Elephas maximus indicus: one gene and its partners. The protein of the gene in region 1 interacts with the protein of each later gene in a biochemical or structural test. Links are inferred from orthologs where the notes say so. Each region holds a gene or a part of one and is shown in the gene's direction. Other genes may lie near its edges.

Region 1 (7,244 bases):
GGGGTCTTAAAAGTTTACAAGTGGCTGCCATCCAAGGTACAATTGGTCTCTATTTGCCTAGAGCAACAGAGGAAGATGGAAGTTCAGGAATAGGAGGAAGAAATGGAAAGTGTGACCAATTGTTTTCATGAACAACTGCCTCCTTTGCCATGAGACCAGAAGAACTAGATGGTGCCCAGCTACCATTACTGAATGTTTTGTTCAAAGATTCTATAGAAAAATCCTGATCAAAAGGGAGGAAATGCAGAACAGAATTTAAAATTTTCATGGAATCTAGTCTTTCTGGAGCCATAAAGGCTGGATGAACCCCTGAAACTGTTACCCTGAGATAATCTTTAAACCTTAAACCAAAAATAACCACTGAAGTCTTAAAACCAAACAATAGTTTAGCTTAACTAGTGAAGGATGTCTGCCTTGACCATTCTGTTCTTTTAAGACCTCTATGGGATTAAATTGACAACAACTGCTCAAAAGATTAGGAAATTTAGGGAGTAGTAATTTTAGGTTAATGGGGGAGGAACCACTCAGAAAAGGAGGGTAAGAATGGTTGTGCAACTCAAAGAATGTAATCAATGTCACTGAATTGTACATGTAGAAACTGTTGAATTGGTATATGCTTTGCTGTGTATATTCTCAACAAAAAAAACATTAAAAAAACAAAGGACTTGCCCTAAAAATTTATGTGTTTTAATGGAATATTTAAAAATATAAGGCTATATTGATTCTTCAACCAACTCAACATCATCAGAGCTACATCTTCATCCTTGGGGAGAAAGCAGAGGCTTGCCCATGTATCCTTGAATAAGCTTTCCCACCTTTTAAAGTATTTTTGATTAAATATTTAACATGTATAAAAGAATATCACATGTGTAAGGTGTAAAGACTAATATTTATCACATATGTGAAAGTGCCTGGTGGCACAGTGGTTAAGAGTTACAGCTGCTAACTAAAAGGTTGGTAGTACAAATCCACCAGCAGCTCCTTGGAAACCCTATGGGACAGTTCTCCTCTGCCCTGTAGGGTCCCTGAGAGTCAGAATCAACTCGATGGCAATGGGTTTGGTTTTTTTGGTATATGTGAGGGTGTAAAATATTCATTTGTTATAATTACTTTATAAGGAGCCCTTGTAGCACAATGGTTGAGCTCTTGGCTGCTAACCAAAAAGTTGGTGGTTCAAACCTACCTGTGGCTCAGTGAGAGAAACTCAATGGGGCAGTTCTCCTGAAACCTATAGGGTGGCTATGAGCTGGAGTCAACTCAATGGCACACAACAAGAAGAATTACTTTATGGTGTAGTACTGATATTTCATCAAATCTAAGATGCTATTGATTGTAAAACACCGTTATTTTACATACCTCTAAGAAAGGAAAAAACACTGACAAAGCATAACATGCCATCTAATTCCAGAGATACAAAAATGTTTTTGAGGTTTTAGAAGTGATAACGATATAGCATCTTTCCATTTTTAAAATGAGGTAACCATGACAAAGAGAGGTTAAATATCTTGAGTGGAGTTACATATGGTCTGTGGCAGAGCCAGAATTTGGAGCTTAACTGAGTGACACCAGACTATTTTACATCAAGAATCTCAAAACCTTATGTCCACTTACTATGTGTCTTTAACAATACCTCTTAGCCAATGTTATCCTTAAGATATAAACCCAGGGACCTCCTGATACAAAGAATCAGCTTCAGTATGGTACAAGGTGGCAAACAGTATAAAATGGTTGTATGGGAGGTAGAATTGCTTCATGGTTGTAAGTATGGCCTTAGATCCAGGCTGAGGGAATGTAAGGCCCAGCGCCACCACTTATCAGCTGTGTCTAAATTATACTTCAATAAAAAAAAACTAGATGGTCCAGGATTAACGAAATGAATTATTGAGTGAGTTCCTTCAGCTTGGCCTGTGTATAGTTGAAAGCTCTATGTGCAGAACAGTCCCCATGTCACCACCAACACTTGACGTTGTTCACTTTTCTAATTTTAGTTTTTAATGGGCAGGTTGTGATATTGTTTTAGTTGCATTTTTATTGTTACTGATGTTTTTGACCACCTTGAGTACACTTGGTAACCTTTTGGTTTTCCTCTTCTGAAAATTGCTTGTTCATGCCTCCTGAGGTTTAGTCAGCATCAGGTCCTCAAGCAGTTCCTCTTGGTTTGATCAGCCTCCACTCACTGGCCTCAGGCCTCTTTGGAACCAGGACCAAACACTGAATTGTTAGTGCAAGGGATAAACTACGCCTTGCATCTACCAAACTTAGGAATGAAGTCAATGTTTCTAAACTTATTTCTAGCCAGAAAGGTAAATGTGAAATGTTAAGTGGTCCAGTTGAAACAGACCTCTCATTATTTGACCTGTGGCCTCAGTTCCAAACTCTTAGGTAGCAAGAACGTTACTTATTTTCTTATAAGCTAAAAAAAAAAAAAAATTCCTACCCTGCTTTGCTAATCTCTGCAGTCTCCTAGATAGAACATCTAAGTGTAAATCCAGCCACTCTCTGGACTTCTGGGCCAGTTGAGTGCTTTCAGGTTTCATCTGCAAATGAAGATCTTAGAAGGTGCCAGTTGCCAGGGCAACCTACAATGGTAATGCCAGTTATGGGATCCAGTCCCTGGGGAGCTCTGGGTCTCAGGTGCAAAGCCTAAACTAAGAACCAAGTCAATAACAAAATTCTCCTTAATCCCTGAAAGTTAAAGATCCACTTCTGAAAATTTTATTTGCACTTAATGAAATATGTTGGCACTTTTGCTGTGTTCATTATCTACTACAAAACACTTGCAATCCATCTATGCTTGTTGATTCCTTATTAAGAGCATAAATAAGTATCAATAACACCTGCAGCTTAAGCACGCTGAAGGATACAAAAGAAAGAAAAGATTAAGGTCTTTCAATGATTTGATTCTCAATTCACATAAGGAAAATAAAAGGATGAATAAATGCTAAACTGTATTGTTCTGATTGTAAGTGCAAGAGAGTTTTAAAGAAGGAATTGATCACTATAAACTAGAAGGGTTAAGAGAAAAAATGTCATGAAAGAGGTGAAAAATAAGGATGGATAGGTATGATGCTCTCGTATTATTGATTGGTCTGTAGTCTCCAGAACAACCCCAGCAAAAAAAAAAAAAAATACTTTGTATTGTTGCCTTCATGAGTGGTGTAATGGTTAAGAGTCTTGGCTGTTAGCCAAAAGGTTGGCAATTTGAATCCACAGCTGCTCTTTGGAAACTTTATGGGGCAGTTCTACCCTGTCCTATAGGGTCTCTGTGAATGGAATCCACTCCACAGCAATGGGCCTTTTTTTTTTTTTTTTTTTGTATCTAGTCAAGAGGAGCCCTGGTGGTGAAGTGGTTAAAGCAGTTGGCTGCTAACCAAAAAGGTCGATGGTTTGAACCCACCTGCTGGCCGCTCAGCGGGAGAAAGATGGGGCAGGCAGTTGGCTTCCGTAAAGATTTAAAATCTTGGAAATCCCTTGGGGCATTTCTACTCTGCCCTATAGTGTCGCTATGAGTCAGAATCTACTGATGGCAGTGGGTTGGTTTGGGTTTTATGTAGTTAAGGATATAAATTATTCTAACGACTGTAAAGACAAGAGGATATTCAATTTAAGCCGTGTTGGTTTTATTCATTTGGGTCGTATGAATGAAGGTCCCAGCTTTCATAGAGCTTATTTCCTTCTCAGGGGATGTTCACATTCAGAGTATCTGAATCACTAGTAACTTTCATTACCATTTATTGAGCCCCTATTTTTTATACGTATGTGCCAGGTACTGAGTTAAGCCTCGTCCTTTGTCTTCTTATTTAATCACTACAGTCCAATGAAATAAACACTAAAATTTCCAGTTCTGTCTAAGAAGGGCGTCTCTCTCACCAGAGGCCCTTATCACATAAACTGGGAAACATCTTGTTGCATTAAAAAGCTAAACACCTCCCGCCGTCCCCTCCCTAAAATATTCAAAAGCATTAAAACTAGCAGCTATGCAATGGCGCCCTAAGCGCAGCAAGCTCCCAGGCGGTAAGATGAACGCCGCGCGAGGCTGCAGCAGGCCCGCCCCGCCCCCACCCGGGCGTCCCGCCCCGCCCCCACCCGGGCGTCCCGCCCCGCCCCCACCCGGGCGTCCCGCCCCGCCCCCACCCGGGCGTCCCGCCCCGCCCCCACCCGGGCGTCCCGCCCCCACGCTCGCCCTCTGCGCATGCGTGCGTGCACTAACCCCGCCCCTCTCGCGACGGTCGGAGCCATTTCGCCGCCGTCTCCATGCTGGTTGGGGTGCGCTCTGCAGGCGTCTCTGTGGAAGGCCGGAGTTACGGGCAGCCCTAAGCGCGCTGTGCTCTCGGGCACCAGAAGGCGAAGACTGGTAAGGAGAAGATACACTTCCCATCCTTTCCACTCTGCGGGGCGGCTGGCCCAGAGGCCCTGCGGCACTGCAGCCTGGCTTTGTTGCGTAGCGCGGGTGGCGGCGGCGGGTGGGGGAAGGGACGAACGGCCCTGCGAGTCCCCGGATTGCGGATTGTGTGCGCTGCTCGCTGAGGCGCGCTTGCGCAGTTCGAGGCCGCGCTGTGGGCCGCTAGTCCTCCGCCCAGCTCTCCCTTCAGCCTCTAACGCGCAACCCCCGCTTCCTCCATCAGCCTTCGAACGCCGGTGGTGGCGCTGTGCCGCTAAGGGAGAGGGGGGTGACTTGTCTACTTCTTAGCCGGCGGAGACCCCAGGCAAGGCCTAGCGCCATTCATTCGTGCCGCAAATATTCGTTGCTATCCTACAGGCACTCTCATGGAGCAGTAAGCAAGTTAGAATCCTTGCCTTTCCCTCGAGAGGTTGCGGGGAGGGGCAGGCGATACAAAAATGAGTATTTGCAGGCTTTTGTAAAAAATAGTAATCAGAGTGTAAAGGCAGAGAGCTGCTTGAGATAGTGTGGCAGGGAAATGGGTCTCGGACGAAGTGGACTTTTGAGCTGATAACTGAAGGCCGAGAATGCGTCATCGAGATGCGGAGGCAAAGCAGAGCTGCAGAAGGGATTAGTTAGCCGTAAAGCCAGAAATTGGAAAGGGGCTGAAAAAAGAAAGGCCACGTAACTGGAGTGTGGCGAGAAGGATTTAAGAATAGATTTTAGCAACACTGGAAAAGGAAGCCATTTTAAGACTCTATTGCAGTACTCTGGGTGTGCAATCGTGCTGGCAGGGAAAGATGGAGAGAAGCGAATGGGTTGGAGACATTTTGGAGGCAGAATTGCATAACGGTGGCAGATGGCACATCTGGAGTCAGACTGCCAACCTTGCTTGGTATTCTGGCTGCTCCAATTACTAGTTGTGTTTTCTAGGGTAAGTTATCCTTTGTGTTAGTGTCTTCGCCTGTAAAAGGGGAATAATGATTAAAAAAAAAATCCCATTGGGAAGTCGATTCCGACGCTTAGAGACCCGAAGAACTGCCCCATAGCGTTTCCAAAGAGCACCTGGTGAATTTGAACTGCCGACCTTTTGGTTAGCAGCCGAGCTCTTAACCACCGTGCCACCAAGGTTCTAGAGCTGTTTTTTAAAAAAAACATTGCCCTTGAGTCGATTCCGACTCGTAGCAGTAGCAGTTCTGTAGGATTATATAAATTCATGAAGATGATCCTCTAAGATACTGTGGCACATAGTAAGGGCTTTCAAAGGGGTTGCTGTGGATACTCCTGAGGAGTGGATGACTCCTAGATTGTGATGAAAGAGGTGGATGATGGTGCCGTTATGGAAATGGGAAGGAAAGATAGAGACAAGTTTGGGGAGGAAATTTAAAATTCGGTTTTTCCTCTTGGGTTGCAAAGTAAGCATTCAAATGAGTATGTTAATACTGCAGTTGGATGAATTATGGTTTTGGACTGAGCTTTCGGTACATATTTGGGCATCATTAGCATATAGTTGGTATTGAATATCTTGGGGTTAGATGAGACTATCTAGGAAGAAAGGAATTTGGTAGTGTAGTCCTTCTATTTCATGATACCGAGCCACCCTGAGGGCTTGTTTTTTAAATTAATCTCGGGTGGAATGTACAGCTAGGTATATTCAGCTTTTCGAGTAGGGTGGCCCTTCACCAAATGACTGATCAGGATTACCCTGTGGCCACAGAATAAATCTAACCTTACACCAAGGTCTGGTTTGATTACATTAGATTTAGGTGTTAACAGATGTACCAAGCATGAACAGAAGACAGAGGTTTAGTTTAACACTGGTAGTAGAGATTTCTCCTCACAGCAAACAAATCATAGGATATTTTCTCTGGTTCTAAATACAGACTCATATCTTGCTTGTAATTCAGATTCAGGTGCCAATAATCTGGGGTGCAGGGGGAGTGCCAGCAAGTATGATGCTTGTTCCAATGTCTTGATACAATTCAGGAAAACTTCATCATCAAGTAACAAGGCCTGAAGGACACATTTGGTACTCTGCCCCCTTACATTCAGACAACAGACTTTTTTTTTTTTTTTTTAAACAAAGTAATGAGAGGCAACCAGAGGATATTTAGCAATTTATAAGTAATAGCAAGCATTTATGCACTTGGCAAAGGGAAAATTAAAAGGTCGACTGCTCCCTGATAGTGTTCCTTACATTGTTTCCATTGTTAGAGTATGAAAAAGGATTCGTTCAGTTATCTCTCTAATGCGTTAAGCAATTTTTTTTTTTTTTTTAATTTTGATATTTGGTACAAGTATCTTAGGAACAGAAGTGAGTTACGTGGGAGCACTTTGAACATTGGGCTTCAGAAGGATTGAAGTGATGAGGCAATTTTAGAGCTAAGAGTGGACATGAGGGACACTTCGGAGGCATGTAAACATTTACTGAATACTGACTGTATTTGGACTTTATATACATGTACACATACACATATGTGTATCTTACACCCTTGAAGGTAATCTGTTAGCAGTCATATCAGAATGGTAGCAAGCCGTTTGTTTTATATACGATATGATTGATTTCTTAAATATAGTAGTTTGGGTTTGCGTTTAGGACGCCACAGTGGGTGTCTTGGAAAAGTTGCTTGACTTTTCTAAGCCCTAGTTATTTTCTCTGTTTAAAAGCAATTATGGTATTTATATAATAGTGTCTACCCTAGCTATCATTCGTAATGAAAATTGAGTTAAAATACATAAGGTGATTGTTGTAGAAAGTAGAACATTCCATAGAGGTATTTTTTTTTTTTTTTAAAGATACAAAAAAGTCAGTCACCCAAAGGTAGCCATTTTGAAGTGTTTCTTTTCAGTCTTGATTTATGCA
Region 2 (7,881 bases), on another chromosome or scaffold:
CAGCCAGGCAAGGCTATGTCTGCCACCTATGACCATTTGCAAAGACCCCAAAGACCCTTGTTCTGGTTCCCGCTCGCCCCGTGACTATCCTCTCACATGCACACACATGCAAACACACGTGCGTGCATGCACACACACGCACCTTGCGAGGCCCGGGATCTGCCCCAGCCCCCCACTTCCTGCGTCGAGCAGCCCCGTCACGCCATGGTGCTTGCTCAGGGGAAGCCATGCTCCCTCTGCTGGGCCCCCTGGGGCCCGGGAGGCCCCCACTGAGCCCACGATGCCACGGAAACCCTCATTGGCCACCCCCCTCCCTGAGGGGCCTTCCCAGCTGGGAAGAGCTCAGAGCTCAGAGCTGACAGCTATGTCCTGCCGTGTCTAGGCCCCCCAGAGCCTTGGGGGTCCGGGGGGGGTGGGACTCTTCTCCCCCCACTCCCAACCTGCCCCCTTCCCACCTTTTCACTGTTGCTTTCTATGTATAGCTCCCTAGACCCTTCACTTTTTTAAAAATGCGTTTTGTGTAGAGAATAAGGAACGTCGATCTTTTTAATTTGCAATCCTGGGCCAGGTAAATACCGGGAAGGCTGATTGACCTTTTAACTTTTTCCAGTGGCAACCTTTTGGTTATCGATGTACCTAGAAGTCTGTAAATTAGATTAAATTTCTCTTCTGGAAACACACCGGGGCAGGCAGCCAGCGTGCGTGTTTCTCTTGGGTGGACAGGCTGGCTTTGGCTGCCAGCCAGGGCTGGGATTGGCCTGGGCTTCCTACTGACCACCAAGCCAACCAGGCCCAGTTGGGGACGAGCCGAGTTGCCCAGCTGGCAGCCCTCAACACCCTGGGTAGTGGGAGTCTCTGGCTGGCTGGGGGGTGACTCATGTGAGCAGAGGAGATGCTACCCAGGGCTCCAGGAGGCTGGTCTGTGCAGGGAGCCAGGGCTGGGAAGCAACTGAGGCTGGGAGGGCTTTCTAAGGGCAGGAGCTGTCCAGCAAGGGAGTGGGGGCCTATGGAGGGAGGGAGGAGCAGGAAGCAGCCAGAAGCATTCCATGGGGGGCCAGCAGGAAGGACCTGACCTGGAGACAGGTGACTTCTCTGAAGATACATGCATCCTGAGCCCTGGTGACATGAGGGAAAGAAAGGGGAGCACTGACTCCCTTGCGATGTTATTTACATGCTTGTGCTGCAGATGTTTGTTGAACATTTCTGAGATTTCAAGAGACCTCGTTAGCTGCTCCTTGTTGATCACATGCTGTTTTTAACCTCACCACTGTCGCTAAGTCCCTGGATGTTGCCGATGGTTTGTGCTGAACTCGAAACCTAAAGGTTGGTTCAAACCCACCAATCAGTGCCACGGAAGAAATGCCTGGAGATCTGTTACCACTAAGATTACAGCCAAGAAAACCCTATGGAGCAGTTCTCTGTAACATTTGGACTCACCGTGAGTCAGAATTGACTCCACATCAACCAACAACAATCCCTCCTACAGTCAGCTATTGGAGATGTCTGTTGTTGGCTACCTTCAAGTCACCCATGACTCCTGGGAACCCCATGCACAAAGAAATGAAGCACTGCCTGGTCCTGCAGCACTTCCATGATGGGTTGCAGTTTGGATCATGGTGATCCACAGGGTTTTCAATGGCTGATTTCCTAAAGTTGATTGCCAGGCCTTTATTCCTAGTCTGTCTTAGGAAGCTCTGCTGAAATCTGTTCAGTATCATAGCAACACGCAAGCCTCCACTGATGGATGCTTGGTGGCTGCGTATGAGGTGCATTGGTCAGGAATCCAACCCGGGTCTCCTGCGTGGAAGGTGAGGAGTCTACCATTGATCCACCAATCCCCTGGAGATGGCTGACTGCAGTGTTACCTGTTTGTGTCCTGCCTGACTCTACTGGATTTTTTTATTCGAAAGAGCTGAATACAGTCCTTGCCATAGAGGGATCTTTTCCTAAAACATTTCTGAACACATCCCTTCTCTGCTTAAGCAATACTATTCTCTCTCTCAATGGTCTATGAGGGCCGTGGGTGTTAAATCAATAACAGATGGGGTGAAATGAGGGCCGGGGCAGCCAGTGCTGTGAGTGACGCTCTAGGACCCAGGAGAGGTGCTCTAAGCCTTAGTTTTGGAGACCAGGTAAGCATCCCTTAGGGGTGACACGGAGGGGAACCCCAAAGCTGGAGTACACGTCAGTCAGAGTGTTGTGTGCTGCTTCTGTGGTTTCTCACTTAACGCATCAAAACCTTGCCCCACATGGCCGCAAGTCCTGTCTGCCTAAGCCCCAATTTGAGGGGAGGATTTTTTTTTTTTGTCAAAATATTACAAAACATGCCATCTCGACCATTTCTACGTGTTATACTGATTGCATTCTGCAAGTTGTGCCAGTGTTCTTGCTATGCTTTTCCAAATCACTCCACCACCATGAACATAAACCCAATGTCCCCTAAGCAAAAATTCTCCCTTTGTCCCTTCCCCTGGTAACCAATAATAATCTTCGGTTTCTATATATTTTTTATGTAAGTGAGATCACACAGTATTTTTCCTTTTGCAACTGATTTAGCATGATGTTTTCAAGGCTCATCATCTATGTTGTGGCGTGCATCAGGACTTCTGTATGGCTGAGTAATATTCCATTGTGTGTGTACACCGCATTGTGTTAATCCATTTAACTGTCGATGGACATTTGGGTTGTTTCCACCTTTTGGCTGTTGTGAAAAGTGCTGCGATGAACATTGGTGTATGGGGAGTTGCTTTTTTAAAAAGATTTTATCATGGAGAATTCCAGTCATACAAAAGTAGCGAGAACAGTAAAATAAATCTGCATCTACTCATCGATTTTCAACTCATGACCAATCTCTTCAGCTATATCCCCTCCCTCCCCAACCCTGTTCCCCTTCTCTGTCCCCTCCTTTCCCCCCTGAATTATGGTGGAGCACATCCTGACCACCAGATCAATTAATTTGCTAATGTGAGTGTTTCAGTATGTTTCTTTAAGGTATATGGATTCCAAAACAATGCCATTATTACAGTTAAAAGTCCCTGGGTGGTGCAGACAGCGAGCAAACTCAGCTGCTAACAGAAAGGTTGAATGTTCAAGGCCACCCAGCGGGTTCCTCAGAAGAAAAGCCTTCTGAAAAGTCAGCCATTGGAAACACTGTGGAGCACATTTATACTCTGACACACATGGGGCTGCCGTGAGTCAGAGATGACAGTAACTGATTTTTTATTACACCTAAAAAATTGATGACAATCCTTAACTTCAAAAAGTAGGTCGGCAACAGGACACTTTAAAAAAAAAAAAAAAAAAACGTTTTAAGTGAAGCACAGCAAAAAGCATACAGGTCCTAACTCTACAGCTGGATGCATTTTCACAAACACACACACACACACTACGTGTTTGCCTTCTTGTCTGTCAAATTGACTCTTAGAAATTATTAGATGTCCCTGGCAGTGGTTTCAACACTTTCAGAGAGAGTGTTGAGGACAAGGCAGGCACCTGGCTGCACTATTGCAGAATCACTAAAGTCCAGAGTGAACCATGAGGGCTTTAGAGGCAAAGTTCCACCTTTAACAGTCAAGTATCAAGGGCCTTGAGCAAGGCATGAATTCTAAGATCCAGTTTTCTTATCTTTTAAATGGGGAATAAAAATAGCTCCTGGAGGGTTTGGAGGGAGTAGATGAGATGATGAACAATACAATTAATGTTTATTACATATAATATGCATGTGTACTATGTTATAGTGGTTGTAGTTGCCCTTGAGCCGATTCCGACTCGTGGTGACCCCATGTGTGTATGGCGACCCCACGTGTGCGGAGTAGAACTACTCCATAGAATTTCCAAGGCCGTGACCTTTCAGAAGCAGATCGCCAGTCCTGTCTTCTGAGGTGCCTCTGGGTGAGTTTGAACAATCAATCTTTCGGCTAGTAAACCAAAACAAACCAAGCTCATTGCCTTGGAGTCGATTCCAACTCAGAGCGACCCTATAGGACAGAGTAGAACTGCCCCATATGGCTTCCTAGGAGCAGCTGGTGGGTCTGAATTCGAACTACCCACTTTTTGGTTAGCAGCCGGGTTCTTAACCATTGCCCCACCAGGGCCCCTTTAGATCAGTAGTGGAGCTTAAGCGCTGTTTGTGCCCCCCAGGGACTCTATATATACTGTGTAACTATACAAATAAGTAAAGATTAATTACAAAATGCAACATTTGATGCACCAGGCCTTGTACTGATTTTATTGCCGTTTTTCAAGTGTACGATTTAGTGACATCAATTACATTAATCATGTTGTACAACGTGAACTGATTTCTTTATACATGATCACATTTAACGTTTGATCGTGGATCCAGCGCCGTGGCTGGCGCTTAGTCGTAATTTTTCCCATTCCTGCACGGCTTCACCATGTTCATTCCTGAGCTGAAGTTCAGATACCCAGGTTTGCACATCATATACGGTCGCTATGAGTCATAATTGACTCACTGGCAACGGTTTTTTTTTTTTTTTTAATGGGTGGCAGAGCAAGGGACCTGAGCTGTTCCTGCACGGGAACCCCGGCTCCCTCTGGCGGGCCTCTAGGGCACAATCGCGCGTCCTGCTCGGCCAAGCTTGGGCCTTCGGCCTTTCCGTAGCCAACAGCTTCGCCCCCGTCGAGCCCCACAGGAACCTACCTCTACCCCTGCCACCCCATCTAGACCAATCACCGCAGGGGTAGAACGACGGAGGGGCGGGAGTAGGGCGGGGCTCTCTGGATTGGCCTCATCTTCAGCCCCTGGCAGGACGACACTCCGAGATAGACAGGGCGATTCTCCAATAGATGTGAAGTCCGAAGCAGGCGCACACCAATGCGGTCCGGAGGCGGGGCTCGGCTGTGGGTAAAAGGGGCTCGGGGGACTGTGGCCACTATCGCGGCGTCGGGCTCGCGGAGCAGCTGTCGAGGAGCCGGGCGTAGTGTTCGCCGGCGCCATGAGCTACACAGGTACATCCCTGCGGGGCGGCGCCGGGCCCCAGATGGGAGCGGCAGGGGAATGTGGCGGGGCCACGCCGGGTTCTCCCGTGCTTCCCCGGCCAGGTCACTGTCCGTTCTGCGGCCACAAAATGGCGCCGCGAGTCCGTCGCCTCAGGTCGCGCCCGGTACGCCTCGGCCCCTTGGTTCTCTGTGCTCCCAGCCTCGCGTCCCGGGCACTGGCCGCCTGAGGCCACGGCTCCTGCAGTCATGTCCGGGGGCCCCCGGTCCTCGGCTCCTGAGGTTCCTCTCCCACCAGCCCCAGCCGCCTCGGCGCCTTAGGTCGCCGCTTCTCAGGCCTCGGGCCTTAAAACCAGTGAGCAGTCCCGTCCGCTGTCGCCATTGTCGGGCTCTCCTCCGCGTTGTATCCCCGCAAAATGCCTCAGCGCACCGCCCCCCCACCCCCCATTGCGTGTTTAGGGGCTGGGAGAGGTGCCAGGCCCTGGAGGAAAAAATGAATACCTGAAAGGTTTGAGCTGGGACGGAGCCCTCGGGCCGGGCCAAAGCCTTGTGGGGGAGGAAGGGTTGGCTGCCACAACGATATATTCAGCATCTGTTAAATTTGCTGTGTTTGTGCTTAATACTCGTTGCTTTCGAGTAGATGCCGACTTATGGCGACCCCATGTGTTTCAATAGAATTGCTCCATAGGCTTTTCAGTGGATGTGTGACCTTTCAGAAGCAGATTACCAGGCCTTTCTTTCAAGGCGCCTCTGGGTAGGTTTGAACCACCAACATTTTTGGTTAGTTAGAGAAGGGCTTAACCGTTTGGGCCACTCAGGTTGTTCCAAAGAACAAAAAACAGTTGTTGAGTGTACCCTGACACGTGGTGACCTCATTCACGTGTACAGAGTAGAACTGCTTCATGGGGTTTTTAATGGCTAATTTTTCAGAAACAGATCGCCAGGACTTTCTTCTGATGTGCCTCTGGGTGGACTTGAGCAGCCAGCCTTTTGGCTAATAGTCGATTGTTTACTCATTTCCATCACTTGGAAATCTATTGGTGTCACATAGGCACTGAGAATGTGGACAAAAATCTACCCAGCAGCTGATAGGCGAGGGGCAGATCTCAGTAGGCGAAACTATTCATCTGGGGGAGGACAGTCCATGGGAAGGCTAGAGACATTTGTGGAGAGGTGATATGTGGAGAGGGGGCATGAGACTGTCTGGCCCAGGGAGCTGTTGGTGGAGAAGCACGGGCAGAAGTGTGCTCGGCGTGTTTGATGCTCAGCCAAGGAACCAGTGGCATTGGAACAAAGAAGGGGGTGGGTGAGACTCTCTGCAGGGGGCCACAGGATATGCTTGAGTGATTGCAAAACTCTAGGTGATGCCCAGAGGCCTCTTGAGTGTGCCTTGGCAGCGACAGATGCAGCTTCTTACCCAGGAGCCGTAGATGGGGGTGTCAAAAGCTTGAGTGTGCGTGGTTGCTGGGTAACCTGCATTCTACTCAGCAAGAGCAGAGCTGAGAAGGGGCCCGGGCCTCCAGAGCGCCACTGCAGGCTGCTTCATGCTGACCTAGGCAGAAAGGCTGATGGTTTGAGTCCACCTAGAGGTTCCTCAGAAGAAAGTCCTGGTGGTCTGCTTCCAAAACACCAGCCGTTGAGAGCTCTGTGGAGACAGTTATACTCTGACACACATGGGGTCGCTATGAACAGGGGTTGACTCCATAGCAACTGGTTGGGCAAAAAGGCAGTGCCAGTCCTTCCGCTGTGGCTCCCAGATCAGGAGTTTGGCAAGATCCCTAATTTTTCTAGCAACCGTCCCCTAGTCCAGTAGTTCTCAACCAGGGGTGCTACTGCCCCTGGGGACATTTTGCAATGTCTGGATACATTTTTGAGTGTCACCACTGGGGGTGGATACTCTACTGGCATCTAGTGGGTAGGGGCCAGAAGAAGAAAAAAAAAAAAAAAAACTAGTTGCTATCAAGTTTACTCTGACCCAGGGTGACCCCTTGTGTGTCAGAGTAGATCTGTATTCCATAATGTTTTCAATGGCTGATGCTACAGAAGTAGGTCGCCAGGTTTTTCTTCTGGGTAGATTTGAACCGCCAATCTTTCAGTTAGTAGCTGAGCACTTAACTGTTTGTACCACCCGGGGATAGCCAGGAATGCTACTAAATGTCCAGCACTACATAGGACAGCTTCCCATGGCAATGCCAGTAGAGTCGAGCATTTCTTGTCGCTTATAATTCTCTTGACCAAGTTTTCCTGAGAACGGAAGCCAGTTCTGTGGTTTTTACGGGCAGGATTGCTGAAGAAACCCAAGATGAGTGGTTAGGTGCTGTGGAGTAGCTACTTATTTTTATAGGAGAGGGATCTTGGCTATAGAGGGCCAGCAATTTCTGACTGAGGTCTTATTGCCACTAATGACCAAGCCTGAATTTCATCTCCACATCTCATAGGCTGTAATTCTAGCTTTGGGTGGGCACTTGGGTACTAAAACCAAAAACCCATTGCCGTTGAGTCCATTCCGACTCGTAGTGACCCCATAGGACAGAGTACTAAGGAAAAAATGATTAGTTTTTCCTTGATTTTGGCAAACTAAAAGCCATGGTAGCTTTATAATGTCTTTCCCTTTTAAGAAGCAGACTACAAAAGTCAAAGGCATTTTAAAGTCATGTTCCAGACAATATTTGCCTTTAAGGATAACTTTTGGCGGCCCTGAGGCAAATGTTACCATTATTAAGCATAGACGATGATTCAAATTTATCTTTGTGTTAACTCTTGCTTTTTGAACTCAGTTACTTTGTTTATGTTTGGTGCACTAAGCAAGGGGCACAGTGGGTACATCCCACCTTCACTGCTAACTGCTTAGTAAGGGCCAGCATGAATTCAATTCCCAAAGCTTAGAAATGGATCCAGTCCTCACCTTCCTACTCTTCCATCCTC
Region 3 (7,224 bases), on another chromosome or scaffold:
CTGGGGTAGAAAGGGGGAGTGTGCTGTCACATTATAGGGATTGCAACTAATGTCACATAACAATATGTGTATAAATTTTTGTATAAGAAATTAACTTGAGCTATAAACTTCCACCTAAATCACAATAAAAATAAGAGTTATGTTTATACTGTAGTCTTTTTTTTCTTTTTAGTCTATTAGGATCCCTGGTGGTGCAGTAGTTAAGAGCTTGGCTGCTAACCAAAAGGTCAACAGTTCGAATCCAATAGCCACTCCCTGGAAACCCTATGGAGCAGTTTTACTCTGTCCTATAGGAGCCACAACAGTTTTGCAACAGTAGAACTTTCAAAACTGAAGACAACCCTCTCAAACCCTGCTGCTGCTTTACTAAGTCTATGTAACAGTCTAAATCCTTTGTTTTCAACAATGGTCACAGCATCTACACCAGTAGCAGATTCCATCTTCAGAAATCACTTTCTTTGCTTATCCATAAGAAACAGCTCCGCAACCACTAAAGTTTTATGAGATTACAGCAATTCAGTCACATCTTCAGGTTCCATTTCTCATTCTAGTTCTCTTGCTATATCCACCACATCTGTAGTTACTTACTTCCTCCACTGAAGTCTTGAACCCCTCAAAGTCATCCAGGGGTTGGAATCAACTTCTTCCAAACTCCTGTTAATGTTGATATTTTGATCTCCTTCCATGAATCATGAATGTTCTTAATGGCATCTAGAATGGAGAATCCTTTCCAGAAGGTTTTCAATTTACTTTGCCCAGATCCATCTTAGGAATCACTATCTAGAGCAGCTATACAGCCTTATGAAATACATTTCTTAAGTAATAAGACCTGAATGTCAAAATTACTCTTTGATCCATAGGCTGCAGAATGGATGTTTCGTTAGCAGACATGAAAATAACATTAATCTCCTTGTACATATTCATCAGAGCTCTTGGGTGACCAGGTGCATTGTCAATGAGCAGTAATATTTCAAAAGGAATCTTTTTTTCTGAGCAGTAGGTCTCAACAGTGGACTTAAAATATTAGTAAACCATGTTGTAAACAGATGTGCTGTCATCCAGGCTTTGTTGTTCCATTATAAAGCACAGGCTGAGTTGACTTAGCATAATTCTTAAGGGCCCTAGGATTTTCAGAATGGTAAAAGAATATTGGCTTCAACTTAAAGTCACCAGCTGCTTTAGCCCCTAACAAAAATGTCAGCCTGCCCTTTTATGCTTTGAAGCCAAGCGTTGGCTTCTCCTCTCTAGCTATGGAAGTCCTATAGGGCATCTTCTTCCAATACAAGGCTGCTATGTCGACACTGAAAATCTGTTGTTTAGTGTCGCCGCCTTCATCAATTATCTTAGCTAGGTCTTCTGGATAACTTGCTGCAGCTTCTTCAACAGTCTTTGCTGCTTCACCTTGCACTTTTATGTTATGGAAATGGCTTCTTTCCTTAAACCCATGAACCAACCTCTGCTAGCTTCAGACTTTTCTTCTGCAGCTTCCTCACCTCTCTCAGCCTCCATAGAATTGAAGAGAGTTAGGGCCTTGCTCTGGATTAGGCTTTGGCTTAAGGGAATTTTGTGGCTGGTTTGCTCTTCTATCCAGACCACTAAAACTTTCTCCATATCAGCAATAAGGCTGTTTCGCCTTCATGTGTTCACTGGAGTAGCACTTTTTTGGGGGGGGGGGGCGGTTATTTTCTTTTTTAGCTTTAGAGAGTTTTTGTGTGTGTGTGTGTGTGTGTGTATGCTTTAGCTGAAAGTTTACAGCTCATTTCAGGTCCTTATTCAAAAATGTATACATATATTGTTTTGTGACATTCTGATGTTTTGTCACAAGTGACAACACTTTCCCCCTTTCCACCTCGGGTTCCTTGTGTTATTTGTCCGTTTTTTTTGTCCCTTTCTGCCTTCTCATCTTGCTTTTGGACTGGTGTTGCCCATTTGGTCTCAGGTATCTGAACTAAGAAGCACGTTCCTTACATATGTTATTGTTTGTTTTATAGGCCTGTCTAATCTAAGAGCTACAGCTGCTTACCAAAAAAAGGTCAGCAGTTCAAATCCACCAGGTGCTCCTTGGAAACCGTATGGGGTAGTTCTACTCTGTCCTACAGGGTCGCTATGAGTCAGAATCGACTCAATGGCAACAAGTTTGGTTTTTGGTTTAATCTTTGTCTGAAAAGTGGGCTTCAGGAGTTGTCTCAGTTCTGAGTTAACAGAGTGTCCAGGGGCCGTAGTCTTGGAGGCTCCTCCAGTGTCTGTCAGACCAGTAAGTCTGGTCTTTTTTCATGGGTTTGAATTTTGTTCCACACTTTTCTCTCCACTGTGTCCGGAACTCTCTGTTGTGATCCCTGTCAGAGTGGTTGCTGGTGGTAGCTGGGCACCATCTAGTTCTTCTGGGCTCAGGCTGGTGGAGATTTTGGTTCATGTGGTCCTTTCATCCTTTGGGTTAATATTTTCCTTGTGTCTTTGTTTTTTGTTTTTTTTTCTCATTTTCCTTTGCTCTGGATGGGATAGGACCAATAGATTACTGCTCACAAGCTTTTAAGACCCAGACGCTACTCACCAAAGTAGGATGTAGAACATTTTCTTTATGAACTGTGTTATACCGATTGACCTAGATGTCCCCCGAGACCATGGTCTCCAGCCCCAGCCCCAGCAACTTAGTCCCTCAAGGTGTCTGGATATTGGAGTAGCACTTTTAATCTCCTTCAAGAACTTTTCCTTTGCATTCATAACTTGACTGTTTGGTGCAAGAGGCCTAGTTTTTGGCCTATCTCAGCTTTCAACATGCCTTCCTCACTAAGCTTGATCATTTCTAGCTTTTGATTTAAAGTGAGAGACATCTGAATCTTCCTTTCGCTTGAACACTTAGAGGCCACTGTAGGGTTATTAATTGGCCTAATTTCAATATTGTCAAGTCTTAGGGAATAGGAAGGCCTGAGGAGAGGGAGAGATGGGTAATGGCTGGTGGAGAGCACACAACATTTATCCATTAAGTTCGCCATCTTATATGGGTACAGATGGTAGCACCCCAAAACAATTACACTAGTAACATCAAAGACCATCATAACAGATATAAAATAATGAAGAAGTTTGAAATATTGCAAGAATTACCAAAATGTGACACAGAGACGCAAAGTGAGCACGTGCTATTGGAAAAATGGTGGCGACAGACTTGCTCAATGCTGTGTTGCTACGAACTTTTAATTTGTAAAAAAAAAAAAAAAATGCTATATCTGAGAAGCGCAATACAAGGAAGTATGCCTGGGTTTGCATTTTGTTAGCAATGTTTCAGCTTCTCTTTTGGTAGCTCCTTTTTGTGTCTAGTCTTCAGCAATATTTTCTAAAGCGTCTAGAATATAAATGTACGATTCCAAGATTGTACCTGTTGCTACAGCATGTGCTTCCCAATGCGTATTAGAAAGACATTTTAATACTCCATCATCGCCTAAATATGTTTTAAGAATCGCCCATCAGTGAGTAGAGGTGACAAAGAATGTATAGGGTAACTGAACAGTAGGAAAAAACCCAACTGCTTCTGAAAGAGAAAGATGTCAAGAAGGTGTTTAAGTGGAACAAAAACAAAAACAAAACGAAACCTCATAATTTAAACAGCCTTGCCACGTGTGCGGCTCCCTCATGACGCTGTGTGAACTGACTGGCACAGTCTCATGCCCTGGAGCTGGCGCCCTGCTGGTTCCCTTCCACTGCTGCGCTCGCTTTTCTGTATGTCCTGTCGCTTGGCATCTACGGGTCTTTGCTTTGGACACCTGGTGCCCCTGTTTTGTTGACATCCTAAACATGTGCTTACCTTGCATATCGGGTAATCAGTCCCTGGAAGGATGAGTGGAAACAGACTGAAGGGAAATTATGTCCCCAGGCCTCTTCATTTCCAGCTTTGTAGGCATGAGAGAGAGCCAGTAGTGTTGGAAAGGGGTGCTTTGAGGTTTACTGGCCTGGATTTGAATTGCACTCTGGCGTCGCCACTTACCAGCGGCAGGACCCCGGGGTGTTAATTTACAGTTTCTTCTACTGTAAAATGGAGCTGATAATATCCACTTGCCCACCGCCACCAAAGCCAGCCAAAATGTTTGCGTGGAGGAGTTAACTGGGATCTCTGATCCCAGACGAGTGCCTGGCACCGCTGCTGGCGCCTGGGGACCTTGCGTCCTCCCCTTTGCCTGGAGGCCTTCTCTCCACACTGGGGCTGCCCCTGCTGCCCAGCCCGCCCCGCGGCGTCCCCCGCAAGCCTGCGGGTGGAGGCGCCAATCTCCCCCAGCCCGGAACTCATGCGGACGTGTGCGGGCACGCGGCTGGCTAGGCCGCCGCAGAGGAAGGCGGGGTTCGCCGGGAAAACGAAACTGAGAGCAAGCTGTTCAGACACCGCAGAGCTTCAGCGGACAGCAGCAGCGCGGGCTGAGCGGAGTCGTCAGGCGGTAAGGCCGGAGCAGCGGGCACGGGGCGAGCGCGGGGGCGGCCGGGCAGGCGGACAGCGGGGCGAGCGCGGGGACAGGCGGGGGGCCCGGCCCGGCGGCCCGGCCCGGCGGCTGGGCGGAGGCGCGCGCCGATCCCGCGACCCCGCCGGGAATGCAGACCCTGGTACGAGGCCCCCGGAGCCAGCGCCGGGAGAGCGGTCAGAGCCCCGCCGCGGTTGTGCGGGGCCCTTCCCGGATGTGGGCTGAGGGTCGTGGAGCGCGGTGAGAATTTTTATCAGAGCGATTCATACATCGCTCCCAGGCCGGCGGAGGGGGTGAGGATAGGCCCAACGACTTGACATGGGGAATGTGTGGAGGCCTGAAGTAGCCACAGCTTGATTAATAGTCCGTGGGTAGAAATCTCCTGCTTAGACAGTCACGGTGGTGTCCCACCCGCTAGCCCGGCACCTGCTCCGCCTCTACCTGACCCGCTACCTCTTCTCAACACCGCTATCAGAGTGTTCTGTAAATCAGAGCCAACTCTCACCTGCCAGGTACTCCCCCACTGGCTTCCCTTCTCATAAGAATCCTGTCTTCAGGCCTTGTCAGGGCCCACAAACGAGCCCTCTCGCTCCCTCCACACAGCGTCCTCGCTGTTACACTGCTGCGTTTGGGTCTTTGCACTGTTTCCGCTTTCGCCCCTCCCCGCCCCATACCTGCATGGACCAGCTCCTAGCTTCATCCTGTGCTTCCTCAAATGCCACCTTGTCAGAGAGGCCTTCCCTGAACACTGTATGAAAACACCACCACCCTGCCCGTCTTATCCCCCTCTCTCTCCTGCTGGCTTACTCTGTCACTCTTACTCTTCTGTCTCCCTTACTCTGCTTTGTTTTTCACCATAGAACTTATCACACTCTGATACTTATTATAAGTTTATTATCTGTTCCTCTACTAGTAAATAAGTCCACAAGAGCAGGGACTTATGTGTTTTTTTCACTGGCATAACCTCAGTGCCAGGTACATAATAGATGCTCAATAAATATTTGTTAAATGAATGGTAACTCATCAGTTCTCTTTTGAATTCCAGAATAATGAGATATCCTCTTGCTCATGTTCTCCTTAGTGCTAAGAACACCTTGCCAGAATGGAAGCTAAAAGATACACTCTCAGCTGTCAGTTAGAAACTATTTAATCTTGGACAGATTATACTCTTGTTCTTCATTTTGCCTCTTTGAACCAGAAGATCCATAACACTCAACCTGTAGTTTAGTCATTTATTAATTAGGTATTATTTGAATGCATGTTATAGGCCAAGCATTGTGCAGACTCTGGAGGTGGTCTGGTCTACGGAGGGCTCCCAGTTTGCTGGCAGGGAAGGTGGGCATAGCCAAAGAAACTTCTGGACATGAATAAGAGGGACAGATAATATTTGTTAGTCAGTATGGTGGAGATCTCCTTTCTGAAAATGATAACATAGAATTAAAACCAGATTTGTCAAAGATAATTAAAAAGAAACCTATTTCCTTGCTTCCAAACTCAAAAGTACTGTTTCAAACATACCAGTGCAGCACTTTATTAGTTTACATATACATTCATGTGTTCACGCATGTTCAAACTGGTTGTACTGAGGATTTGGAGCATTCTATAGGACTTTAGAGTATAATTGCCAGGGGCTCTCTTGTCACTGCAGTTCTGAGATCTGTGACCCCTTCAGCTGGATATGTGGCCTCATGGTCGTGACTAACTAAATGACACGTTGGTTCCTGAAAATAATGGTGCAGTTCACAGTCCCTTATTCAAAACCCTTGGGCCAGATTTGTTCCAGAATTCAGAGATTTTTGGATTTTAGAAAGGCAATGCAGTGTAAATACTACTTATTATAGAATGCCCTTGGAGGGATTTGGGGCGGTACCTCATAATAAAACATATTAGTATTTCTGCAGTGACAAGTTATATAGGTAACAAAGTATAATAGAGACTCTAAATGGCTCATGACTGTTCAGGTCAACACAGGTAGCTCCAAACCTACCAAAATGAATAAATTAACAATAAACAAACAAAAACCCCTAGTTATCAGAACTATTTGGAGTTTGGGATTGCAGACCTGGTATACCCTTTTGAGGCCAGTTATGTGGGTGGGGTGGGGGATTCTGCTAAAGACTTTATATCTGACTTATTCCTCATGACAATCTTGCGAATCAGGCATTTTTATTCCTGTTTTCAGATCATGAGTCAAAGGCCCACAGAGGTGTCTAGTCCAGGTCTGTGTCGCTCTAATGCCTAAGCTCTTTCTCCAATTCCAGGCTGTAATGTGAATGTGCTTCCTTTTCTCAGACTCTAGGGACTTCCAGTGCCCTGCTTCCAGCTACCACTGTCTGTCACCTAAACCACTGCAGGAGCCTCACGTGGTCTCCTTACTTCTACTCATGTTCATGCCCCACGCCCATACTCTGTTCTTCACCAGCATCAGAGAGATCAGTCAAAAACGTAAGTCAGATCACATCACCCCTCTTCTTAGAGCCCTCCAGTGGCTTCCTACTGCAATTAGAATAACAGCTGGGTACTGACCATGTTATTCTGGAGCAATAAGCAACATCATGATAAATGGAGAAAAGATTGAAGTCAAGGGTTTCATTTTACTTGGATCCACAATCAACACCCATGGACGCAGCAGTCAGGAAATCACATGACGTGTCGCCTTGGGCAAATCTGTTGCAAAAGACCTCTTTCAAAAGTTAAAAATGTCACTCTGAGAACTAACTTACACCTGACTCAAGCCTTGGTATTTTCAATTACCTCATATGTATGTGAAAGCTGGACA

Evidence for each region.
Region 2: the proteins of DHX9 (region 1) and AKAP8L form a complex in vitro, tested with the Homo sapiens proteins (2 studies listed by BioGRID). The link is inferred for Elephas maximus indicus from reciprocal best matches to the Homo sapiens genes DHX9 and AKAP8L.
Region 3: the proteins of DHX9 (region 1) and EIF2AK2 form a complex in vitro, tested with the Homo sapiens proteins (2 studies listed by BioGRID, with this or other methods). The link is inferred for Elephas maximus indicus from reciprocal best matches to the Homo sapiens genes DHX9 and EIF2AK2.

The regions. Positions count from the first base shown.
Region 1 is NC_064842.1:46,178,523-46,185,766, forward strand, and holds the start of DHX9 (ATP-dependent RNA helicase A), read left to right. Parts: upstream 1-4,224; 5' UTR 4,225-4,354; intron 4,355-7,244. UniProt on the Homo sapiens protein: Multifunctional ATP-dependent nucleic acid helicase that unwinds DNA and RNA in a 3' to 5' direction and that plays important roles in many processes, such as DNA replication, transcriptional activation, post-transcriptional RNA regulation, mRNA translation and RNA-mediated gene silencing.
Region 2 is NC_064821.1:35,594,042-35,601,922, reverse strand, and holds the start of AKAP8L (A-kinase anchor protein 8-like), read left to right. Parts: upstream 1-4,849; 5' UTR 4,850-4,955; coding exon 4,956-4,968; intron 4,969-7,881. UniProt on the Homo sapiens protein: Could play a role in constitutive transport element (CTE)-mediated gene expression by association with DHX9. Increases CTE-dependent nuclear unspliced mRNA export.
Region 3 is NC_064844.1:27,163,457-27,170,680, forward strand, and holds the start of EIF2AK2 (interferon-induced, double-stranded RNA-activated protein kinase), read left to right. Parts: upstream 1-4,126; 5' UTR 4,127-4,424; intron 4,425-6,737; exon of another isoform or gene 6,738-6,890; intron 6,891-7,224.